Linked DNA regions of Callithrix jacchus. The protein of the gene in region 1 purifies or fractionates together with the protein of each later gene. This does not show direct contact. Links are inferred from orthologs where the notes say so. Each region holds a gene or a part of one and is shown in the gene's direction. Other genes may lie near its edges.

The links.
Region 2: the proteins of COPRS (region 1) and HNRNPH1 purify together in Homo sapiens (co-immunoprecipitation; 3 studies listed by BioGRID and IntAct, with this or other methods). This does not show direct contact. The link is inferred for Callithrix jacchus from reciprocal best matches to the Homo sapiens genes COPRS and HNRNPH1.

The regions. Positions count from the first base shown.
Region 1 is NC_133506.1:102,331,823-102,341,992, forward strand, and holds the end of COPRS (coordinator of PRMT5 and differentiation stimulator), read left to right. Parts: intron 1-194; coding exon 195-261; intron 262-4,614; coding exon 4,615-4,833; intron 4,834-5,615; coding exon 5,616-5,785; 3' UTR 5,786-5,941; downstream 5,942-10,170. UniProt on the Homo sapiens protein: Histone-binding protein required for histone H4 methyltransferase activity of PRMT5.
Region 2 is NC_133503.1:72,025,481-72,036,699, forward strand, and holds the start of HNRNPH1 (heterogeneous nuclear ribonucleoprotein H), read left to right. Parts: upstream 1-3,635; 5' UTR 3,636-3,722; exon of another isoform or gene 3,723-3,835; intron 3,836-4,473; exon of another isoform or gene 4,474-4,877; intron 4,878-4,999; 5' UTR 5,000-5,030; coding exon 5,031-5,127; intron 5,128-6,835; coding exon 6,836-6,991; intron 6,992-7,196; coding exon 7,197-7,340; intron 7,341-8,818; coding exon 8,819-8,957; intron 8,958-9,901; coding exon 9,902-10,080; intron 10,081-10,168; coding exon 10,169-10,240; intron 10,241-10,296; coding exon 10,297-10,430; intron 10,431-10,586; coding exon 10,587-10,722; intron 10,723-11,112; coding exon 11,113-11,172; coding exon of another isoform or gene 11,173-11,202; intron 11,203-11,219. UniProt on the Homo sapiens protein: This protein is a component of the heterogeneous nuclear ribonucleoprotein (hnRNP) complexes which provide the substrate for the processing events that pre-mRNAs undergo before becoming functional, translatable mRNAs in the cytoplasm.

The DNA.
Region 1 (10,170 bases):
TAGAAAGGAACAAGGCCCCTCTCCCTCCAGCCTTGCCCAGTTTAACAGGGCAAAGCAGAAAAGTGGGTGGCAGAGTCCCAGCCCCGCATCACCAAGGGGAGTATGGAAGAGTGGGTGAAGTTGAAAGACAATAGCTGAATACTGGGCATCTCCCAGATACCCAAGTCCTTGGTAATCATTTCTTCTTCCTGCAGGCTGACTTTGCTACAGTTGACTACTCCAGTCGGGAGAGAGAGACTGAGAAGGCTATGGATCGACTAGGCAAGTAGATGGCAGAGACAGTGGAAGTTGGGGAGACCAAGGACGTGAGGAGAGGGATAGTCCTCTGTCTCATTTACCTCCTCTTTTAGCCCGTCTTCTCTGCTGCTTAGTGGCCTTTTCTGCCCAGTGTTGAACAGTACCCTCCTTTGGAAGCCTTACTTGGCGCTTCCTTAAGGGAAGTCCTGGACTTTCCTTATGTTCAAACGCATCCTTCTACCAAGAGAAACAGCTTGAAATGGTGAAAATAGTACACCAATTTCCCCTTTTTCCTTGGGGGTACATTCTAAGAACCCCCCCAGTGGATGCCTGAAACTGCTTTATTTCCCTGTATATACTATCTCTGATGAAGTTTAACTTATAAAGTATGCATATGTGGTTAATAACAATGAGAATGTGGAACAGTTATGCCAACATGCTGTAATACAAGTTAGGTGAACGTGTCCTCTCTCAAAGTATCTTACTTGTACCTTACCATGGATAATTGAAACCATGGAAAGCAAAACTGAATAAACGGGGAGATTACTTTATAGGCTTTGGAGCCAGGCAAATTGTTTTTGGTTTCCCTGCTGGGTCAGAGAGTCATGGGCTTGATTTTTATGGCCTTAGATAACTCACTTAGCCTTTCCCATCTTTAAAATAGGGCTAATACGTGCCTCATTGGGGTCATTATGAGGTTTGGGTGAAAGTATCTAGAGCGATACTATCTAATAGAATAGCCATTAGCCACTGATGCTATGATAATTATAACTTAATAAAATGAGAAATTCACTTCCTTGTTTGCGCTATCAACATTTCTGGTGCTCAGTAGCCACGTGTTGCTAGCACTGGCCTGCTGGACAGCACAGCTTATAGAATACTTCCCTCATTGCAGATAGTGCTGGTCTAGATCAAGCACATAATATAGTCATGGGAAATAATGCTTATACAGGACTCACTATGTGCCAGGCACAGTTCTCAGTGTCTCTTTCTCTCCTTTTTTTTAGAGAGAGCCTGTCTGTTACCCAGGCTGGAGTGCAGTGGCATGATCTTGACTCACTGCAACCTCCACCTCCTGGGTTCAAGTGATTCTCCTGCTTCAGCCTCCCGAGTAGCTGGGACTGCAGGCTCGCATCACCATGCCAGGCTAATTTTTGTGTTTTTAGTAGAGAGAGATGGGGTTTCACCGTCTTGGCCAGGCTGGTCTCAAACTCCTAATCTTGTTATCTGCCCACCTGGGCCTCCCAAAGTGTGAGATTACAGGCATGAGCCACCATGCCTAGTCCCCTCCCTGGCTTTTTTCTTTCTTCCTTTCTTTTCTTTTCTTTTTTTTTAAGACGGGGTTTCACCATATTGGTCAGGCTGGTCTTGAACTCCTGACCTCAGGTGATGTGCCCGCCTCAGCCTCCCAAAGTGCTAGGATTACAGGTGTGAGCCACCGTGCCTGGTGTTCTTTCTTTTCTTTGTTTTTTTTTTGGACGGAGTTTTGCTCTTGTTGCCCAGGCTGGAGTGCAATGGTGCGATCTCGACTCACTGCATGCAACCTTCACCTCCATTCTCCTACCTCAGCCTACTAAGTAGCTGGGATTACAGGCATGTGCCACCATGCCCGGCTAATTTTTGTATTTTTAGTAGAAATGGGGTTTCATCATGTTGGCAAGGCTGGTTTCAAACTCCTGGCTTCGCATGATCCTTCTGTCTCAGCCTCCCAAAGTGTTAGGATTACAAGCGTGAACACCCGGCAACCCCCCCTTTTTTCCTTTTTTTTTTGAGATGGAGTCTTACTCTGTCGCCCAAACTGGAGTGCAGTGGTGTTCAGTGGTGTGATCTTGGCTCACAACCTCTGTCTCTTGGGTTCAAGTGATTCTCGTGCCTCAGCCTCCCGAGTAGCTGTGATTATAGGTGTGTACCACAGCGCCTGGCTAAGAGATTTTTGTATTTTTAGTGGAGAGGGAGTTTCACCATGTTGGCCAGGCTGCTCTCAAAATCCTGACCTCAGGTGATCCGCCCGCCTCGGCCTTCCAAAGTGCTGTGATTACAGGTGTGAGCCACTGCGCCTGGCCTTTTTTTTCTTTTAAAGCAACTCTTACAACAACCAGGAATGGTGGCTTATACCTGTAACCCCAGCACTTAGGAAGGCCAAGTTACGAGGTCAAAGATCGAGACCATCCTGGCCAACATGGTGAAACCCTGTCTCTACTGAAATATAAAAAATTAGCTGGGCATGGTGGCAGGCACCTGTAGTTCCAGCTACTTGGGAGGCTGAGGCAGGGTAATCACTTGAACCCGGGAGGCGGAGATTGCAGTGAGCGGAGATCGCACCATTGCACTCCAGCCTGGGTGACAGAGCAAGACTGAGTGTCAAAAAAAAAAAAATCATGGTAAAAGATACATAGCATATATTTACCATTTAACCATTTTACAGCATATAATTCAGTGGCCTTTTAGCACAATGGCAGTGTTGTGCAACCATCACCACTGTCTAGTTCCAGAATCTTCGTCACCCTAAGAGGAAACCCTGTGCTCACCAAGTAGTCATTCTCCCTTTCTTCCTTCCCTGAGCTCCTGGCAACCACTAATTTGCTTTCTGTCTCTGTGGATTTATCTATTCTGGATAGGCAAATGTGAGTTGCCTATAAATGGAATCATAACCAAATGTGGCCTTTTGTGTCTGGCTTCTTTCACTTTGTATATTTTCAAGGTACATTGTCAGCACTGCATTCCTTTTTATGGCTGAATCATTCCATGGTTTGGATATACCGCATTTTGTTTATCCGTTCATCCATTAATGGACATTTGTGTTGTGGTTACTTTTTGGTGATTGTAAATACTGCTGCTGTGAGCATCCTTGTTTTATTTGAACACCTGTTTTCAGTTCCTTTGGGTATATGTTTAGGACTGGGATTGCTGGGTCATATGGTAATTCTATATTTATGTTATGGAACTAGTTAAGTAAATTTCAGCTCAGTCACACTTTTTTTTTTTGAGACAGGGATCTCACTGTTGTCCAGGCTGGAGTACAATGGCACGATCTTGGCTCACTGCAGCCTCTGCCTCCCAGGCTAAGTGATCGTCCCACTTCAGCCTCCTGAGTGGCTGAGATTACAGGTGTGTGCCACCGCACCCAGCTACGTTTTTGGAATTTTTTGTAGAGACAGGGTTTTGCCGTGTTGTTCAGGCTGGTCTTGAACTCCTTGAGCTCAAGCAATCCACCCACCTCGGCCTCCCAAAGTGCTGGGTTTACAGGTGTGAGCCACTGCACCTGGCCCAGTCACATGTTTAGTAATTGACAAAACAGGAATTTGAAACCAGACAGTCTGTCTCTAGACCCCTTGCTCTGAATTATCACTTTATCGCTTATCACAGTTACTGTTGTTTCAGTATTCAGAGCATGGCTGTTTTTAGGCTGAATGTCTTGTCTCCTGGGACCTGGCATCACCATAGCACTAAGTGCTTGGAAATCCATTATCTTTTCCCAGTCTTTCTTCCATTTTTATGAGGTCTTTTGAAAATGTACCTTCTGGCCTCCCCGATGTCAGAAGGAGCCACTAGGTACTGCCATTGTGACTAGACAGGCTCTGGTCTTCTGTCTGCAGTGCCCCTGCTCCCCTTTGTCCTTGTGCTCACCTTTAACATGCTCTTTGAGGCAGAAGGGAAGAATAAAAGAGCAAAAGCTCAATTCAAGCTTGTATTTTGAAAGTGTGTTATTTATTAGAGGCCCTTTGCCCCAATGACATGCAAACCACCTGAAAACATAAACTGTCCCTGGCTTTCTTTGTAAATTAAAGGACTTGACAATTACTGGCCTTATATAAGACAAAACATCTTATTGAAAATAAATTATCAGCTCTTCTAAAAACATACACGGAACAGCATTTTTTTTTCGGGGGCGGGGACAGAGTCTCGGTCTGTTACCAGGCTGGAGTGCAGTGGCACGATCTTGGCTCACTGCAACCTTTGCCTCCTGGGTTCAAGCGATTCTCCTGCCTCAGCTTCCCAAGTAGCTAGGGTTACAGGCTTCTGCCACCATGCCCAGCTAGTTTTTGTATCATTAGTAGAGATGGCGTTTTACTGTGTTGGCCAGTCTGGTCTCAAACTCCTGACCTCAGGTAATTTGCCTGCCTTGGCTCCCAGAGTGCTGGTATCACAGGCATGAGCCACCGTGCCCAGCCCAGAACAGCATTTTTTAAGAAGTGCTCATTCCTGTTGCATTCTAAAGAATTAAAACAAACAAACAAACAAAAGGTGCTCATGTGACTAAAGAACACTCTATACACTTGCTTACTACCTTCTTAGTAAGTTTGCCAGAAATTTACTGAGCACACAGCAGGTCCTCTTTGGTTTGGCACTAAGGCTATCTTCTCTTTGATTTCTTAGCCTGCAGAGCACAGAGCGTCCCTAATGACAGTCCTGCCCAGGGTGAGGGTACCCATTCTGAAGAGGAAGGCTTTGCTGTGGATGAGGAGGACTCTGATGGAGAACTGAATACCTGGGAGCTGTCAGGAGGAACAAATTGTCCACCCAAGGAACAGCCTGGTGGTCTTTTTCATGAGGACTGGGACTTGGAGTTGAAAGCAGATCAAGGGAATCCATATGGTAGGTGTGGAGTCTCTGGGGTCCTGAACTGGTCTTCTCAGATACACCTATCAGACTAGCCCTGAAGGCAGACAGTTTGGAACAGCGGTCCACATCTATGAGCTTAGGCTGGTATCTGTTACAGGTCTGCAATTTCTGTGACATCTTCTCTTTTTTATTGAAAACAAACATATATGCAAATTTTGCCTTTGACTCTGTGATGTATCGCTGTTTTTTTTTTTTTTGAGATGGTGTCTTGTTCTGTTGCCCAGGCTGGAATGCAGTGGCATGATCTCGGGTCACTGCAACCTCTGCATCCCAGGTTCAAGTGATTCTCCTGCTTCAACCTCCCAAGTAGCTGGGACTACAGGTGTGTGCCACCACACCCGGCTAATTTTTTGTATTTTTAGTAGAGACGGGATTTCACCATGTTAGCCAGGATGGTCTCAATCTCCTGGCCTTGTGATCGCCCGCCTCAGCCTCCCAAAGTGCTGGGATCACAGGCATGAGCTACCGTGCCCGGCCATTTATTGCTGTTTTAACTTCAGAACTATTACTCTCTCCAAAAATCTCTGCTATGACTTGAGCAGCTGCAGATAGAAGTGCTGTGTTATCCAGTTTGCTTCCTCTCCACTGCTAAGAACCCTTGTCTGAGAAGCACAGCTTCTCAGCTGTTCAGAATGAACACATTTACAATTCTTCAGGAAAGGAGGATTCTGTGTTTTTAAACAAAATAAGTCCAACGTTTTGGCTGTCCGTTTTTACCTTCCTTCCCTTAATCTGTCTTTTAAAACTGCCTGCAGATGCTGATGACATCCAGGAGAGCATTTCTCAAGAGCTCAAACCTTGGGTGTGCTGTGCGCCACGAGGAGACATGATCTATGACCCCAGCTGGCACCATCCGCCTCCATTGATACCCCATTATTCCAAGATGGTCTTTGAAACAGGACAGTTTGACGATGCTGAAGATTGAGTGTGGAGCTTTCTGCCTTGTAGATGGGTGGGCCTCCGTGTCAGGATCTCTTTTCCTGTCTTGGAGGTGAAAAGCTGTATCTGAGAAAATGTTCACGGTGATCCCTAGTCTGGGGTACACAGACCAGTGTTCAATAAGGCCCCATTGTTCTCCTCAGTCTGTTGCTGTTCTTAATGGGCTCCTCCTTGGAATGTGTGTGTGTTTGTGTCAGAGGAGTTGTGTTCTTTGTAAATAAATGTTAAAAAAAAAAAAACCAGTATGCTTCGTCTGCATTTTTCCCATTTATTTATTTATGGAGACAGTCTCACTGTTGTTGCCCAGGCTGGAGTGCAGTAGCGCAATCTTGGCTCACTTGCCACCTCTACTTCCTAGGTTTAAGCAATTCTTGTACCTTAGCCTCCTGAGTAGCTGGGACTATAGGTATGCGCCACCATCCCCTGGTAATCTTTTGTATTTTCAGTAGAGACAGGGTTTCACCATGTTGGCCAGGTGTGAGCTGCTGAGCCTGGCCTGCTTTTTTCCCTTTTAATTAGATACTTCTGAGTAGTCCCTCCATCCCTCCCTTTCTTTCTTCCTCCCTTCTGTCTTGCTCTGTTGCCCAGGCTGGAGTAGTGGTGCAGTGTTGGCTCACTGCACCCTCTGCCTCCCAGGTTCAAGCAATTCTGCCTTGCCTCCTGAGTAGCTGGGATTACAGGTGCCCACCACCATGCCCATCTAATTTTTGTATATTTAGTGGAGACTGGGTTTTGTCATGTTGGCTGTGTTGGTCTCGAACTCCTGACCTCAGGTGATCCAACTGCCTTGGCATCCTGAAATGCTGGGATTTACAGGTGTGAGCCACCTTACCCGGCCTTCACTCCTTCACTTAAAGTCCCTGAATGACATTTTTTTTTTTTTGGAGATGGAGTCTCAATCTTGCCCAGGCTGGAGTGCAGTGGTGTGATCTGGGCTCACTGCAACCTTTGCCTCCTCAGTTCAAGGGATTCTCTTGCCTAAGCCTCCCAAGTAGCTGAAACTACAGGCTCGTGCCACCATGCCTGGCTCATTTTTTGTATTTTTAGTAGAGATGGGGTTTCACCATGTTAGCCAGGATGGTCTCAGCCTTCCAAAGTGCTGGGATTACAGGTATGCCCTGAATGACATTTTAAGAATTCAAACGTTTGGATGCCTTAAACAACTCTGTGAAAGAAAAAAATTTAGTTTTGCTTCTGTAGATCTAGCACTGTTGATCAAGGATGGGAATCTAGGAGACATTGGTGATTTTTGTAGCTGGTTTATTTTCCTGTTCATAGAAAATGGAACATATACTTAGTTAACAGGCTCCCTAGGCCGATAAACTAAATGGGAAATTAGTTAAACCAGTGGTTGCATAATCCTTAGTTGACATGAAACTCAGTTTTTCATTTAATCTTTTTTTTTTTTTTTGAGATGAAGTCTCGCTTTGTCACCCAGGCTGGAGTGCAGTGGTGAGATCTTTGCTGACTGCAACCTCCGCCTCCCGGGTTTAAGCAATTCTCCTGCCTCACCCTCCCCAATAGCTGGGACTAAACGTAGTGTGCCACTACTCCCAGCTAACTTTTGTATTTTTAGTGGAGATGGGGTTTCACAATTACTTACTTGCAGTTCCTCTTAAAAATTTACCTCATTTTAGAGATGGGAATGAAGACTCAAAATGTTTTGACCAGGCCGGGCATGGTGGCTCACACCTGTAATCCCAGCACATTGGGAGGCTGAGGCAGGTGGATCACCTGAGGTCAGGAGATTGAGACCATCCTGGCTACATAGTGAAACCTTGTCTCTACTAAAACTACCAAAAATTAGCCGGATGTGGTGGCACGTGCCTGTAGTCCCAGCTATTTAAGAGGCTGAGGCAGAAGAATTGCTTGAACCCGAGATCATGCCACTGCACTCCAGCAGGGGCAACAAGGCAAGACTGTCTCAAAAAAAATCACACAGTGAGCAGCAGAAATAGGACCTAGATGCACATGTGACTCAAGGTCCGTTCTTGACCCTGCATATGTGCGAAGATAGCAGCATGGTCTGGGCCACGCCCTGGCAGGTCTAGGATACACTAGAGTAAGTCACCTTTGTGTCTCACAGGCTCAGGAATTGTTTCATATCTTCCTGCCTCCTTATTGAAGCTGACTCAAGAAAAGCTTTCAGATAAGAAATTTTTAGTATACCCCATAGCAGTTAATTGAGCATTTAACTATTTAAACTGTTTTTCTTTCTTTTCTTTTTTTTTGTGATAGAGTCTCACTCTGTTGCCCAGGCTGGAGTGCAAAGGTGCAATCTCAGCTCACTGCAACTTCCACCTCCCAGGTTCAAGCGATTCTCCTGCCTCAGCCTCCCAAGTAACTGGGATTACAGGCACCTGCTGCCACACCTGGCTAATTTGTATTTTTAGTAGAGATGGGGTTTCACCATGTTGGTCAGGCTGGTCTAGAACTCCTGACCTCGTGATCCACCCACCTGGGCCTCCAAAAGTGCTGGGATTACAGGCATGAGCCACTGCACCCAGCCTCCTTAAACTGTTTTTCAAAGGTCCTGCAAGGGGTATGAACAAGGCAGAACCTTGTGAGGGAAGGCAGTGGCTTTGGCGGTGAGGGGAGTCATGGCCAAAGCTGTCCTAGGGAGGAAAAAATGTCCCTTCCACTGTCTTTGCTAAAAGGGCAGTGGTAGATCATATCACCATACCCCCCTTTCCTCCTCCTCTCAAGGTCATAGATGATGAGACCATGAGTATGTCTGGCATGAAAAGGTAAACTTGAGAAATGGAGCCAGGAGATATTAGGGGCTTGAGGAGGATGGCAGAACTGCTGAAATGGAAAGGTCATGTTGAAAGGTAGTGTTGGTCCACGTGTGAGCAGGAGCTATGAGACGGCTGAAACTGTGAGTAAAGGTGGAAGTTGTGAGTTGGGGTATTATATATATAGGTGGGCGGGAGGGAAAGAAAAAAATAGAATGAAAAGCATATGTGCATGAGTAGCTAAGCAAATAAAATTCACACAGTGTTAACTGCTGTGATCTGTGGAAGAGTTGTGAATTTAGGACTCTGTTTTGCTTTTTATTTTTTATTTACTTTTTTTTTTGAGATGGAGTTTCGCTCTTGTTACCCAGGCTGGAGTGCAATGGCACAATCTCGGCTCACCGCAACCTCCACCTCCTGGGTTCAGGCAATTCTCCTGCCTCAGCCTCCTGAGGAGCTGGGATTACAGGCACGCGCCACCGTGCCCAGCTAATTTTTTGTATTTTTAGTAGAGACGGGGTTTCACCATGTTGACCAGGATGATCTCGATCTCTTGACCTCGTGATCCACCCGCCTCGGCCTCCCAAAGTGCTGGGATTACAGGCATGAGCCACTGCGCCCGGCCTTTATTTACTTTTTTTGAGACGAAGTTTCGCTCTTATTGCCCAGGCTGGAGTGCAGTGGTTCGATCTTGGCTCACTACAGCCTCCGCCTCCCAGGCTCAAGCAATTCTTCTGCCTCAGCTTCTCTAGTAGCTGGGATTACAGGCGTGTACCACTACGCCTGGCTAATTTTTGTATTTTTACTAGAGACAGGGTTTCACCCTGTTGGTCAGGCTGGTCTCAAACTCCTGACCTCGTGATCCTCCCGTCTTGGCCTCCCAAAGTGCTGGGATTGCAGGCATGAGCCACCATGCCTGGCCTGTTTTGCTTTTTAAAAGTTAATCTTTGCTGTACCTCCTTCTGGTAGTTTCTGTCGGGGTGGGTAGGAGGGAAATAGGGTTTACTGGAGTAAGAAGGTAGGATTTTTTTTTTTTTGAAGACGTAGTCTTGTTCTGTCACCCAGGCTGGAGTGCAGTGGTGAGATCTTGGCTCACTACTGCCTCTGCCTCCTGGGTTGAAGCTATTCTTCTGCCTCAGACTCCTGAGTAGCTGGAATTACAGGTGTGTATCACCACGCCTGGTTAATTTTTGTAATTTTAGTGGAGATGGGGTTTTGCCACATTGGCCAGGCTGGTCTCAAACTCCTGACCTCGAGTGATTCGCCTGCCTTGGCCTCCCAAAGTGCTGGGATTACAGGCATGAGTCGCCAAAATATTTTCTTAAAAAGGACATTAAGGCTGGACGTGGTGGCTCACACCTGTAATCCCAGCACTTTGGGAGGCCGAGGCAAGTGAATCACCTTAGGTCGGGAGTTAGAGACCAGCCTGACTAACATGGAGAAACCCCGTCTTTAAAAAAAAAGAAAGACATTAATGGTTTTTATGGTTGAAAGTTGAGTGTTAGGAGAACAAGAAAAGAGGAGAGGAACTAACCAATTGTTTTTTTTTTTTTTTTTTTTTTTTTTTAGATAGAGTCTCACTCTGTCACCCAGACTCGAGTGCAGTGGCACCATCTTGGCTCACTGCAACCTCCAC
Region 2 (11,219 bases), on another chromosome or scaffold:
GAGGTTGTGGTGAGCCGAGATTGCACCATTGCACTCCAGCCTGGGTAACAAGAGTGAAACTCCGTCTCAAAAAAAAAAAAAAAAAACGAAAAAATTAGCTGGGCATGGTGGCGCGCGCCTGTAGTCCCAGCTACTCAGGAGGCTGAGTCAGGAGAATTGTTTGAACCCAGGAGACGGAGGTTGCTGTGAGCCAAGATCGCGCCATTGCACTCCAGTCTAGGTAACAAGAGCGAAACTCCATCTCAAAAAAAAAAAGAAAAAAGAAACAAAAACAGAAAAAAACATATTCCTGGTCAAGGCATGGTGGCTCATGTTTGTAATCCCAGCACTTTGGGAGGCAGAGGCAGGCAGCTCACCTGAGGCCAACATTACTAAATCCTGTTTCTACTAAAAACACAAAAATGAGTTGCACATGGTAGTGCTCTTCCATAATCCCAGCTACTCTGGAGGCTGAGGGAGGAAAATCACTCGAATCAGAAAACCGAGGTTGCAGTGAGCTGAGGCCAAAGCATTGCACTCCAGCCTGGGTGACAGAGAGAGACTCCATTTCAAAAAAAGTAGTAAGAAGAAAATAAAACACATTCCTATCTTATTGAGGTTAAATTGTACAAAATGTGTCTTACAAATGATACCAAAGATAACGAATATGTGCTTAATCTCTGGATGGGAAAGGACTTTCTAAGCTTCAAGACAAATCTCAAAGGAACACATCCATGGCTTTGACATCTCAAAATTTAAAACTTCTACATGTCTAAACATTAAAAACCAATCATAGGCTGGGTGCAGTGGCTCACATCTGTAATCCCAGCACTTTGGGAGGCTGAGGTGGGCAGATCACTTGAGGTCAGGGGTTCCAGACCAGCCTGGCCAACATGGTGAACCTCATCTCTACTAAAAATACAAAAATTAGCTGAGTGTGATGGTGTATACCTGTAATCCCAGCTATTTGTTGTTGTTTTTTTTTTCCTTTTTTTGAGTGGGAATCTCTCTCCCTTGCCCAGGCTGGAGTACAGTGGCAGGATCTCTGCTCACTGCAACTTTCACCTCCTGGGTTCAAGTGATTCTCCTGCCTCAGCCTCTTGAGTAGCTGGTGGTGGTGCCCACCACCATGCCCAGCTAAATTTTGTGTTTTTAGTAGAGACTGGGTTTCACCATGTTGGCCAGGCTGTCTCAAACTCCTGACATCAAGTGATCCACTCACCTTAGCCTCCGAAAGTGCTGGGATTACAGGTGTGAGCCACTGTGCTCAGTCTATCCCAGCTATTGCAAGAATTGCTTGAACCCAGGAGGTGGAGGTTGCAGTGAGCCGAGATCGCGCCATTGCACTCCAGCCTGGGTAACAAGAGCAAAACTCTGTCTCAAAAAAAAAAAAAAAAAAAAAGAGCTCTGTAAAGTATAAGATGTATACCAAGACAGTAAGATCAATGAGGCAAGATGATGAACTATTTTTTTTTTTTTTTGAGACGGAGTCTTGCTCTGTTGCCCAGGCTTGAGTGGAGTGGTATGATCTCATTTCACTGCAACCTCCACCTCCTGGGTTCAAATGATTCTCCTGCCTCAGCCTCCTGAGTAGCTAGAATTACAGGTACATGCCACCACACCTGGCTATTTTTTAAATTTTTAGTAGAGACAGGGTTTCAGCATGTTGGTCAGGCTGGTCTTGAACTCCCAACCTTGTGATCCACCTGCATAGGCCTCTCAAAGTGCTGGAGTTACAGACATGAGCTACTTCACCCAGCCTGATTATGAACTTTTTATATTAAAAAAACCTTTGCCCGAGCATGGTGGCGGATGCCCCTAATCTCAGCACTTTGGGGGGCCAGGTGGGCAGGTCACTTGAGGCCAGGAGTTCCAGAACAGCTTGGCCAACATGGTGAAACCCCATCTGGACTAAAAACTTTTAAAAAGTAGCAAGGTGTGGTGGCAAACGTGTAATACTTCTACTTGGGAGGCTGAGGCGCGAGAATTGGTTGAACCTGGGAGGCAGAGGTTGCAGTGAGGCAAGATTGCACCACTGCACTCCAGCCTGGGTGATGACGGAGTGAGACTGTCTCAAAAACAAAACCAAACAAAAAAACCTTCTTTCATGACCAAACATGGTGGCTCTCACCTGTAATCCTAGTACGTTTCTTTGGGAGGCTGAGGTGGGATGATTCCTTGAGCCCAAGAGTTCAAGACCAGCCTGGGCAACAATGTAAGATGCCATTGCTACAAAAAAATAAAAAAGTTATCTGAGCAAGGTGGCACATGCCTGTGGTCTACCTACTCAGGAGGTTGGGGCAGGAGGATCATTTGAACCCAGGAGGTAGAGGTTGTGGTGAGCCATGTTTGCACTACTGCACTCCAGTCTGGGTGACGGAGTGAGGCCATGTCTCAGAAAAAAAAAAAAAGGAAAATAAAAATAAAAATTAAAAAACCTTTTTTACGTAAGTTGGACAATTTATGTAAAAGAGAATTGGCTATAAATGTATGAAATTTATTCTACCTCACTAGTATTTTTTTTTTTTTTGAGATGGAGTTTCATTCTTGTTGCCCAGGCTGGAGTGCAATGGCGTGACCTCAGCTCTCTGCAACCTCTGCCTCCTGGGTTTAAGCAATTCTCCTGCCTCAGCCTCCAAAGTAGCTGGGATTACATGCAAGCGCCACCATGCCTGGCTAATTTTTGTTTTGTTTTCTTTGAGTTGGAGTCTTGCTTTGTTGCCCAGGCTGGAGGGCAGTGGTGTGATCTCTGCTCACCGCTTCCTCTGCTTCCTGGGTTCAGGCAATTCTCCTGCCTAGCCCTCCTGAGTAGCTGGGATTACAGGCACATGCCACCACACCTGGCTGATTTTTGTTATCTTTAGTAGAGGTAGGGTTTCACCATGTTGGCCGGGATGGTCTCCAACTCCTGACCTCAAGTGATTCACCTGCCTCAGCCTCCCAAAGTGCTGGGATTACGGGTCTGAGCCACTGCACCTGGTGGGAGTCTCTCTTTCTGATGACCTCAGCCACAGTGCCTTCTGAAATGGTACCACAGGTATGTGCTTCTAGTTCTGTTTGCAGCAGAGTGCATGGCATGTACCATCATTCCCTCTGCCTGCTCTCTATTTGCGTCTCCCTCACATCCAGCAAGACTTTTCCTTTATACAGGACTTGCAGTTAACACCCTTGCCAAGGCCGAAGTGGCCTTTGAAGATCAGGCCCTCCTTAGCTCTGGGCTCCTGTGTTTCTTTGGATGTCCTCTCTACTTTCCTCAAACCTGTCAAAACTGGATTCGGCCTCTGTGGCACTGGGTTTGGAAACATGCTTTGCCCGAATCTTCCGAGGGTGGCACTCAGGCCTGCACTACCTGAGTTAGCCCTGCGGCAGGGTCCAACACTACCTTATGGTTAATTTATTGCCTGTGTCCACGAGAGCTGGGGTGAAGAGGGCAGCCAGATTAGACAGAGGGAGGCCTGGGAAGCTCTGGAGTCTTCGGTTTTGGGCAGTGCTGCTAGAAACCACGAACATTACTCATCTCGCAGCCTATGTGCACACCGGGTGACCCAGGGGCCTCGAATGCAGGGTCTCCACCTGGGGAATCACGCACTGTTACCAATTCAGCGCTGGGATGATTCAGCCGGAGCCTATCCCAGCACAGAGGCCGGCACGCACCCGTAGAGGAGATCGCGCTCGCGAGGCAGTACCCGGCGACCCGTCCTCGTGCCAGGGCCCCAGGGCGTTCCAGGCCCGCCGACCCGGAGGTGGGTCAAGAGGTACAAAGGATGCAAGTTCGTTAGGCAAAAGCGGGGTACAGGCGCGAGCCACAGGCACGGGAACCCCGCGCCGACCAGCGCCCTAGGCCCGACGACGGCAGGTAAGGGGAAGTGGAGGCACACACGGCTGGGGCGTGCCCCAGGCACCATCCGGGAGGCTTCGGGTGCTGGACGTCCGCAGCCCTATAGTTCCCAAGACGCTCGGCAATCTGCAGCTGATCAGCTCCGGCCAGCTTTGGGATAAAGGGGAGACAGGCGGCGCGGGGAGTGGGAACACCCGAAGGCCGCGCTCCTCCTTTCAGGTCGGCCAGGAGCGCCCCGGTAAGACTGGGGGTAAGGGGTAGAAAGACGCCCACCTCATCACAACCCAGAGGTCGGGACTCCTATACAGCCCCATAGGGAACTGGCGGCGCCATTCCCCTCCCCCACGTTGGCGGGTAACGCTAGAGAACGGTTTCAAGGAAGACGCATGCGCAAGAAACAATTATAAACCGCTGAGGCTCCAAGTTCAATATTCGCGATCAAGCGCAGGCGCAATAAAAAGCCCGGCGGGTTAATGGGTGGGGGTGCTGAGTCCAAAACGCAGGCGTGTAATAATCTACCAACCGGAGGTAGGCTGATTCTTGAAGTTACGCATGCGTCAGAGCTCTTTGTGACGCAAGGGGGCGGGGCGAGCAGCTGGCTGCGCGTGCGCAGAGCTCGCACAAAGGGCCTTATTTAGGTTGCGCAAGCGCCTGTTGGCCATTTCGTCTTACCCACGCTGGAGTTGGGTGTCAGGGTGAGTTGCGGTCGGTCCTCCCTAGCTGTCCAGCGACCCCCGCTGTGGGGTCCGTTTTTGCTAGGATTGTTTTCCTCCCGACCTCTGGGAGGGCTGCGGGGATCTTGGCTAGCTGCGGGCAGCCATCGAGAACCGAAAGTTGTTCGCTGAATCCCAGCACCGCCGCCGAGGCCTGCAGGCCGCGCGGACTCTATTGTGTGAGAAGTCGGAGGAGGCGGAGCGGAAGCGGCCGCCGCCATTTCCTTGTCTCCACGCTGGCTCTCGACCCCCGCCCCCAGGGTTCGGAGCGCCGACAGCTGCTCCCCAGAGCAGCTTTGGGGGTCCGCTCGCTGGCCGAGGAAGTGTTGGGTGTTGGAGTCGCCGGGGTGGGTGCATCCGCCCGGTTTTTGCTCCGTAGGGCGGGTGGCGCGGGCCCGGGGGGGTACATCGGGGGCGGAGCACAGCTTAATGGGCGCTCTCAGGTCTGGTCCTCCTCCCCGCCTTGCAGTTTGTTTCGACGTCGGACCGCGTAAGAGACAATGATGTTGGGCACCGAAGGTGGAGAGGGATTCGTGGTGAAGGTCCGGGGGTTGCCCTGGTCTTGCTCGGCCGATGAAGTGCAGAGGTTTTTTTCTGGTGAGTTACCACTAGAACGCGGGAGTTCGAGTTCGAGGCCTGGGCGGGCGGGCTGGCGGGCGGGCTGGCGGGCAGCCGGGCTGGGGCGGGCCGGGCGGGACTCGGGGCGCCCCCTGGCGTGGCGCGGATGACTGCAGTTCCCGCTGTGCTGTTCGCGCCCCGCCGACCGCTGTTACGCAATGGAAATTTCGAAAGCCCCGCCGCCTTCCTGTTTCTTGGAGTGCTGCCGATCTGGTAGACTTGTTTTCTTTACCTGCCTTTGAACACCAGCTCTTCTTTTTTTTTCCGTTTTCGGCTCACTGCGATTCGGGTTGAAGCGATTCTCCTTGCCGCAGGCTCCGGAATAGGTGGGATTACAGGCGTGTGTCACTATGCCTGGCTAACTTACTGTACTCTTTTTCTTTTTTAAGACGGGGTTTCAACATGTTGGTTGGGCTGGTCTTGAATTCCCGATCTCAGGTGATCCGCCCGCCTTGGCCTCCAAAGTGCGTGGATTACAGGCGTGAACCACCACGCCCGGCCATCTTTTTGTATTTTTAGTAGAGACGGGGGTTTCACCATATTGGACAGGCCGGTCTCGAACTCCTGACCTGAAATGATCGGCTGCCTCGGCCTCCCAGAAGTGCTTGGGATTACAGGCGTGAGCCACTGCTCCCTGTCTGGGTATCTTTTGGAAAGGATAAATTGGCATAGATGGGATTTCTTCTTGAATCTTGAGAAAAATCTCCCGAGTGATTAGACAAATTGTAATGTTTTGGAATATCTTGAAGTGTAACCTCTTGTTTACAGTTTCGGTGTTTCCTTGAAAATGAGCATTCTGCTTCGGAAAGTTAAAGTGTCACGTCTTAATTTCGGTTTTCCTAATCAAGATTTGGTAATTGAGATGTGTTTGCTAGTCTAGTTCTTGATATGGCTCTCTATACAGTTGAAGACGCTGAAGCCCAGGGAAGTTTTCTTGCCTGTGTAAATTTTTTTCCAGTACACAGTTTTCCTGAGTATTTTCTATCAGAATGTTCTTGTTCGCAGCATTAGACTGGGGAAAAGAAATTAGTTTAGACTGATGAAATTCTATTTGGATGAAATTGACAGCTTTTGGTAAGACGTTTGTAGTGTTGACTTACTATCTGAATTTAGCGTTGGTAATGGAAAACGACCTGTAAAACAAGAACCAAGTACACTGGAAGCCACCTTGCAGGGGGCAACACTGGGTTTGGCTGCAGCTGTGCAGCTTGGAGCATTTTAGCTTGGTAACACTGATTCCCTTTCAGGTTAGTATTGGGCCTGCAATTTGGATTTGAATGAGAAACCGTAATGTCGCTGCTGGTAAAGTAAAACTGACAAATGCACCAGACCAAAACAACTCACAACGAAGTATGTTTGCCATAAAGTCACAAAGTACAGACTTGATAGTATTCTGAGAAATTGATAAAAGATTTGTGATGGAGACATGAGTAACAAGGACTCAAAAGAGAAATTCATTCTGTAACTGCTTTGAATATTGGATGTTGATGGGTTGGAAATAGATCCCCTTGGGAATGAGATTTCTTTTTTAATTGGCATTCTAGGAGTTGGTGATACCGTGGTCATTATAGTCTTCACAAGTTAATGTAATTTTTGGCGTGGGGGACATGGAATAGGTATTTCATCTGTGTCACCCAGAGGTGGTTTTAGGTTTTAAATTCTGTATTAACGGTTGTTTTCTTTCCAGACTGCAAAATTCAAAATGGGGCTCAAGGTATTCGTTTCATCTACACCAGAGAAGGCAGACCGAGTGGCGAGGCTTTTGTTGAACTTGAATCAGAAGATGAAGTCAAATTGGCCCTGAAAAAAGACAGAGAAACTATGGGACACAGATATGTTGAAGGTTTGATTTACGTTGCCCTAGTAACAGTAAATAAAGCGTTGCATATAGAGGTCTTACCCCTTCTGAATTTTAGGTATTTGACCGCATGGAAATGGTTATCTAAGGGAGTTTGTGGCAGCTCTTCCTAGCTTATCTAAAGACCCAGGAAGTCTGAACTTCGATATCTAATTTTCCAAAATTGACTAATTCTAAGCACCTCTTTCAGTATTCAAGTCAAACAACGTTGAAATGGATTGGGTGTTGAAGCATACTGGTCCAAATAGTCCTGACACGGCCAATGATGGCTTTGTACGTCTTAGAGGACTTCCCTTTGGATGTAGCAAGGAAGAAATTGTTCAGTTCTTCTCAGGTATGTAGTCCTGTTTGTTGCTGAGCAGTGAGTTTTGGCTAGCTTCTGGCAAGGTGATTTAATAAACCTTAAAGTTGAGTAGCTTAGGTCTTTAACTAGGTTGTAAATTTATGCCAATATTTTCTTCCTAGAGACCTTCAAATAATTTAAGCCCATCTTAAAGGTGGAAATGAAATACTTCCAAAATGTTAACTTTGCCTATATTTAGTATTATAGTTCAGAGTAGATCTTTCATTGAGGATTGCCCTCAACAGCTTAACTACTTTCCTCACATTGCTGTCCAGCTAAGTACCTCAAGTTAAAGGTAAGATCCCTTAACATCAGATTAGTATGATGAATTAGGTTGTTGTAAGTTATGGCAGGTGTCTGTGTTGCAAGAGACGCTTGGGTCATGGGACCAGAAACATCTCTTCTAATGGTCTTAATTCTCTTTAATGCAAAAGTCTATTATGAAAGACTTGGTTTAACCAGTGTGTTACAAACTTATTGAAAATCAGATGTAATGAGAGTAGGTTGAATGCTTGTAGTTTCAGTATCTGAAGTAACAAGTGTTGAAATTGTTTGTGGGCCTAAAGTATTTGAATGTTTTTATGCTGAAGAGCTGATAAGATTGCATGTTTAACAGAATGTTAGATATCTTATGTTTTAAGTATTAATATTTATGATGTGATAAACTGGAAGCAAGAAGTCCTTTCATGGTTTATTGTATATTAGAAATTTATATATGTATAAAGTCCTAATGTCAGAATTTTTAAAATCGTCTATTTTGTTTTTAATCTACATTGGTGAGAATTGAATGCTATCTGTCAACGTTAAATATGAACATAATTTCATATCTTCTAGGAAAGTGCTTTAAGTCCTTTTTGTAAGCTTGAGAATGTATCCACGGAAAGGATTTTTCATAGACGGAATTTCCAGAAGTGAATCATACTACTGTTAGAGCATAAGCAAGCATGATTGTCTGGTGTAGATCAGTTTTGTTGAAAATTTAGATTGTTATGTTTGTCAATAATGATTTAATGTTTTCAGTTTTTATATGAAATGTTTAAATGTGTACCTTTTTTAAAAGCTGAAGTTCCAATAACTTAAAGCATTGAAATATAAAATGAGGTAAAAGGTGTTTTGAATTTAGTAAAACTGTTTAATGCTTAAAACTTAATTGAATTTTTGTATAATTCTCAACATTAAGTTAGTTGTATTGATACGTGTTCTTAAGTTGAATTCTTAATGCATCCTGTGTTCAGCAAGTTGGTTTTAAAAAAATATATACTGTACCATGGGTGTGTTAAGAATAGTTATATTTTGTAATAATGGAACTTCATATTATTGAAATGCATATTTAAAGAGTACTTGTTGAAAGCATACCATTCACCTAAAGTTAAAAATTCTGGTTTATTTAAAGCTATAAGAAGAATCATTTCTGGGCTTGTGATGTTAATATTGCCCCCCTACTGGGGTTATTTGTCCTTGGGTTGAAGGGTTGGAAATCGTGCCAAATGGGATAACATTGCCGGTGGACTTCCAGGGGAGGAGTACGGGGGAGGCCTTCGTGCAGTTTGCTTCACAGGAAATAGCTGAAAAGGCTCTAAAGAAACACAAGGAAAGAATAGGGCACAGGTGGGGATGGATGGTTGGTTGGATATGTCACTTTTCTTATGGTAAATAATTAAATCCATATTCTCTCTGCTTAAAAGAAGAAATTAATGTTTTGTAGTCCTAGTTAATTGATGTTTTGCCATGATTTCTAAACTTCCTGTGTCAGAGTCCCATGTCATATGAAAACTAAATTTTAGGTTTAAAATTTGTCCCTAGTTAATTGGTCTACTTTACAATTTTGTGAGTCTTATTAACCCCAATAGAGTTGAGAGACTATGGCTTTAAAAAATTAATGCAAACCTCGCTTTAGCTGTAATAACAACCACCTAGTAAATTAATATTACCATAAGAAATTGTGATACTTTCTGATCTTGTTTTTAAAGTTGAAATGCAACAAACTTTTTCTTGCTGTATATAAATATTCTGCATAGTATTAATAAGCATAGCTTTCAAGAAATTGTCACAAAAGGTTTTATTCTCTTTGCTTGTGACTATTTTTCATTGAAGCATGCGCTTACCTATGCTGATTCTTACTAAAAGCATAGGCTGGGATATTTATTGGCGAAAGGAAATGTGTAGTGTGGGCTAGACTGTTGGTGGAGACTGGCTTTTTAGCCCACTTGCTATACATGCTGCCAATGGATTTAAGACTTGAAATGTTGAAAGTTGAGTGGAATTATTTCCCTCCTAAAACATTTATATACAGTACTCCTCTCTTACCCCTAAGGTTGGGCTCTGCCTCAGAGGAGTGAGTTTTTTTTTTCCTATAAAGTATACATTAAGTCTTACTATTTATTGAGTGGATTTCTGGTCATTGCCTATGCAAATATAAGAAATCTGGCTCTAAATATTAGTCAGTTTCATGGCTGTGACTAGATTGTTTTCTTGTATAACTAAATACCTGTATAAAATGAACTAATGTTCTCTCTCCCCTCCCTACCCCTTCCTTATGAACAATGCTTTAGGTATATTGAAATCTTTAAGAGCAGTAGAGCTGAAGTTAGAACTCACTATGACCCACCACGAAAGCTTATGGCCATGCAGCGGCCAGGTCCCTATGACAGACCTGGGGCTGGCAGAGGATATAACAGCATTGGCAGAGGAGCAGGCTTTGAAAGGATGAGGCGTGGTGCTTATGGTGGAGGTGCGTGAGGATTCTTAAGGTTTGGCAAGTCAGTTCCTTTGTGTAGGTGTTGTGTTTGATTGATGGTACATTTTTTTTTGTCTTTCAGGCTATGGAGGCTATGATGATTACAATGGCTATAATGATGGCTATGGATTTGGGTCAGATAGATTTGGAAGAGGTAAGGTAAGAATTGAATTTCTCAGTTGAAGGATGCTTACACTCTTGTCCATCTAGACCTCAATTACTGTTTTTCAGGAATGTCTGATCACAGATACGGGGATGGTGGCTCTACTTTCCAGAGCACAACAGGACACTGTGTACACATGCGTGGATTACCTTACAGAGCTACTGAGAATGACATTTACAATGTAAGTGTAAGACGGAACTCACAAGTCAGTATTTCAGTATGACAGTAAAAGTCTCAACTTTATTGTACTATAAAGGGAACACCATGTTAGAGATTTTAGTTTCATTTTGTAACGTTAGGAAGTTGATTCAGTTTTTTGAACTGCCTTGTGTTGTAGTTTTTTTCACCACTCAATCCTGTGAGAGTACACATTGAAATTGGTCCTGATGGCAGAGTAACTGGTGAAGCAGATGTCGAGTTTGCAACTCATGAAGATGCTGTGGCAGCTATGTCAAAAGACAAAGCAAATATGCGTAAGTGTGATTGAGCACTTATGGGCTCATTCTTAGGTGATTGTGTGACTAACATTTACAATAGAGGAATAGAAAAATAATATATGAGAAGTTTCCTTTCCAGTAATAGATTGATTCTTGGGGAACAGGGTGGGGTGTGTTAAAGGTTTGGTTTTTAAAAATTAGTTTAACAGATTTGTGATACACATCTTACATCTTGAAGTATATATCCTTTATTGACAATATAGATGAATATGTAAAGGCTAGATTTTGAAGTTATAAAGATCACCTAAGAGAAGTAACAAGTCTTTGCCCAAGTATTTGAAGTTCATAGATCTACGTGTTTAAAAAGTGCTTATCCTGTTTTCTTTCACCAACAAACATTTTCAAACTTTTTTTTTCTCATTTCAGAACACAGATATGTAGAACTCTTCTTGAATTCTACAGCAGGAGCAAGCGGTGGTGCTTACGGTAGCCAAATGCTAGGAGGCATGGGTTTGTGTAAATATCACTTTAGT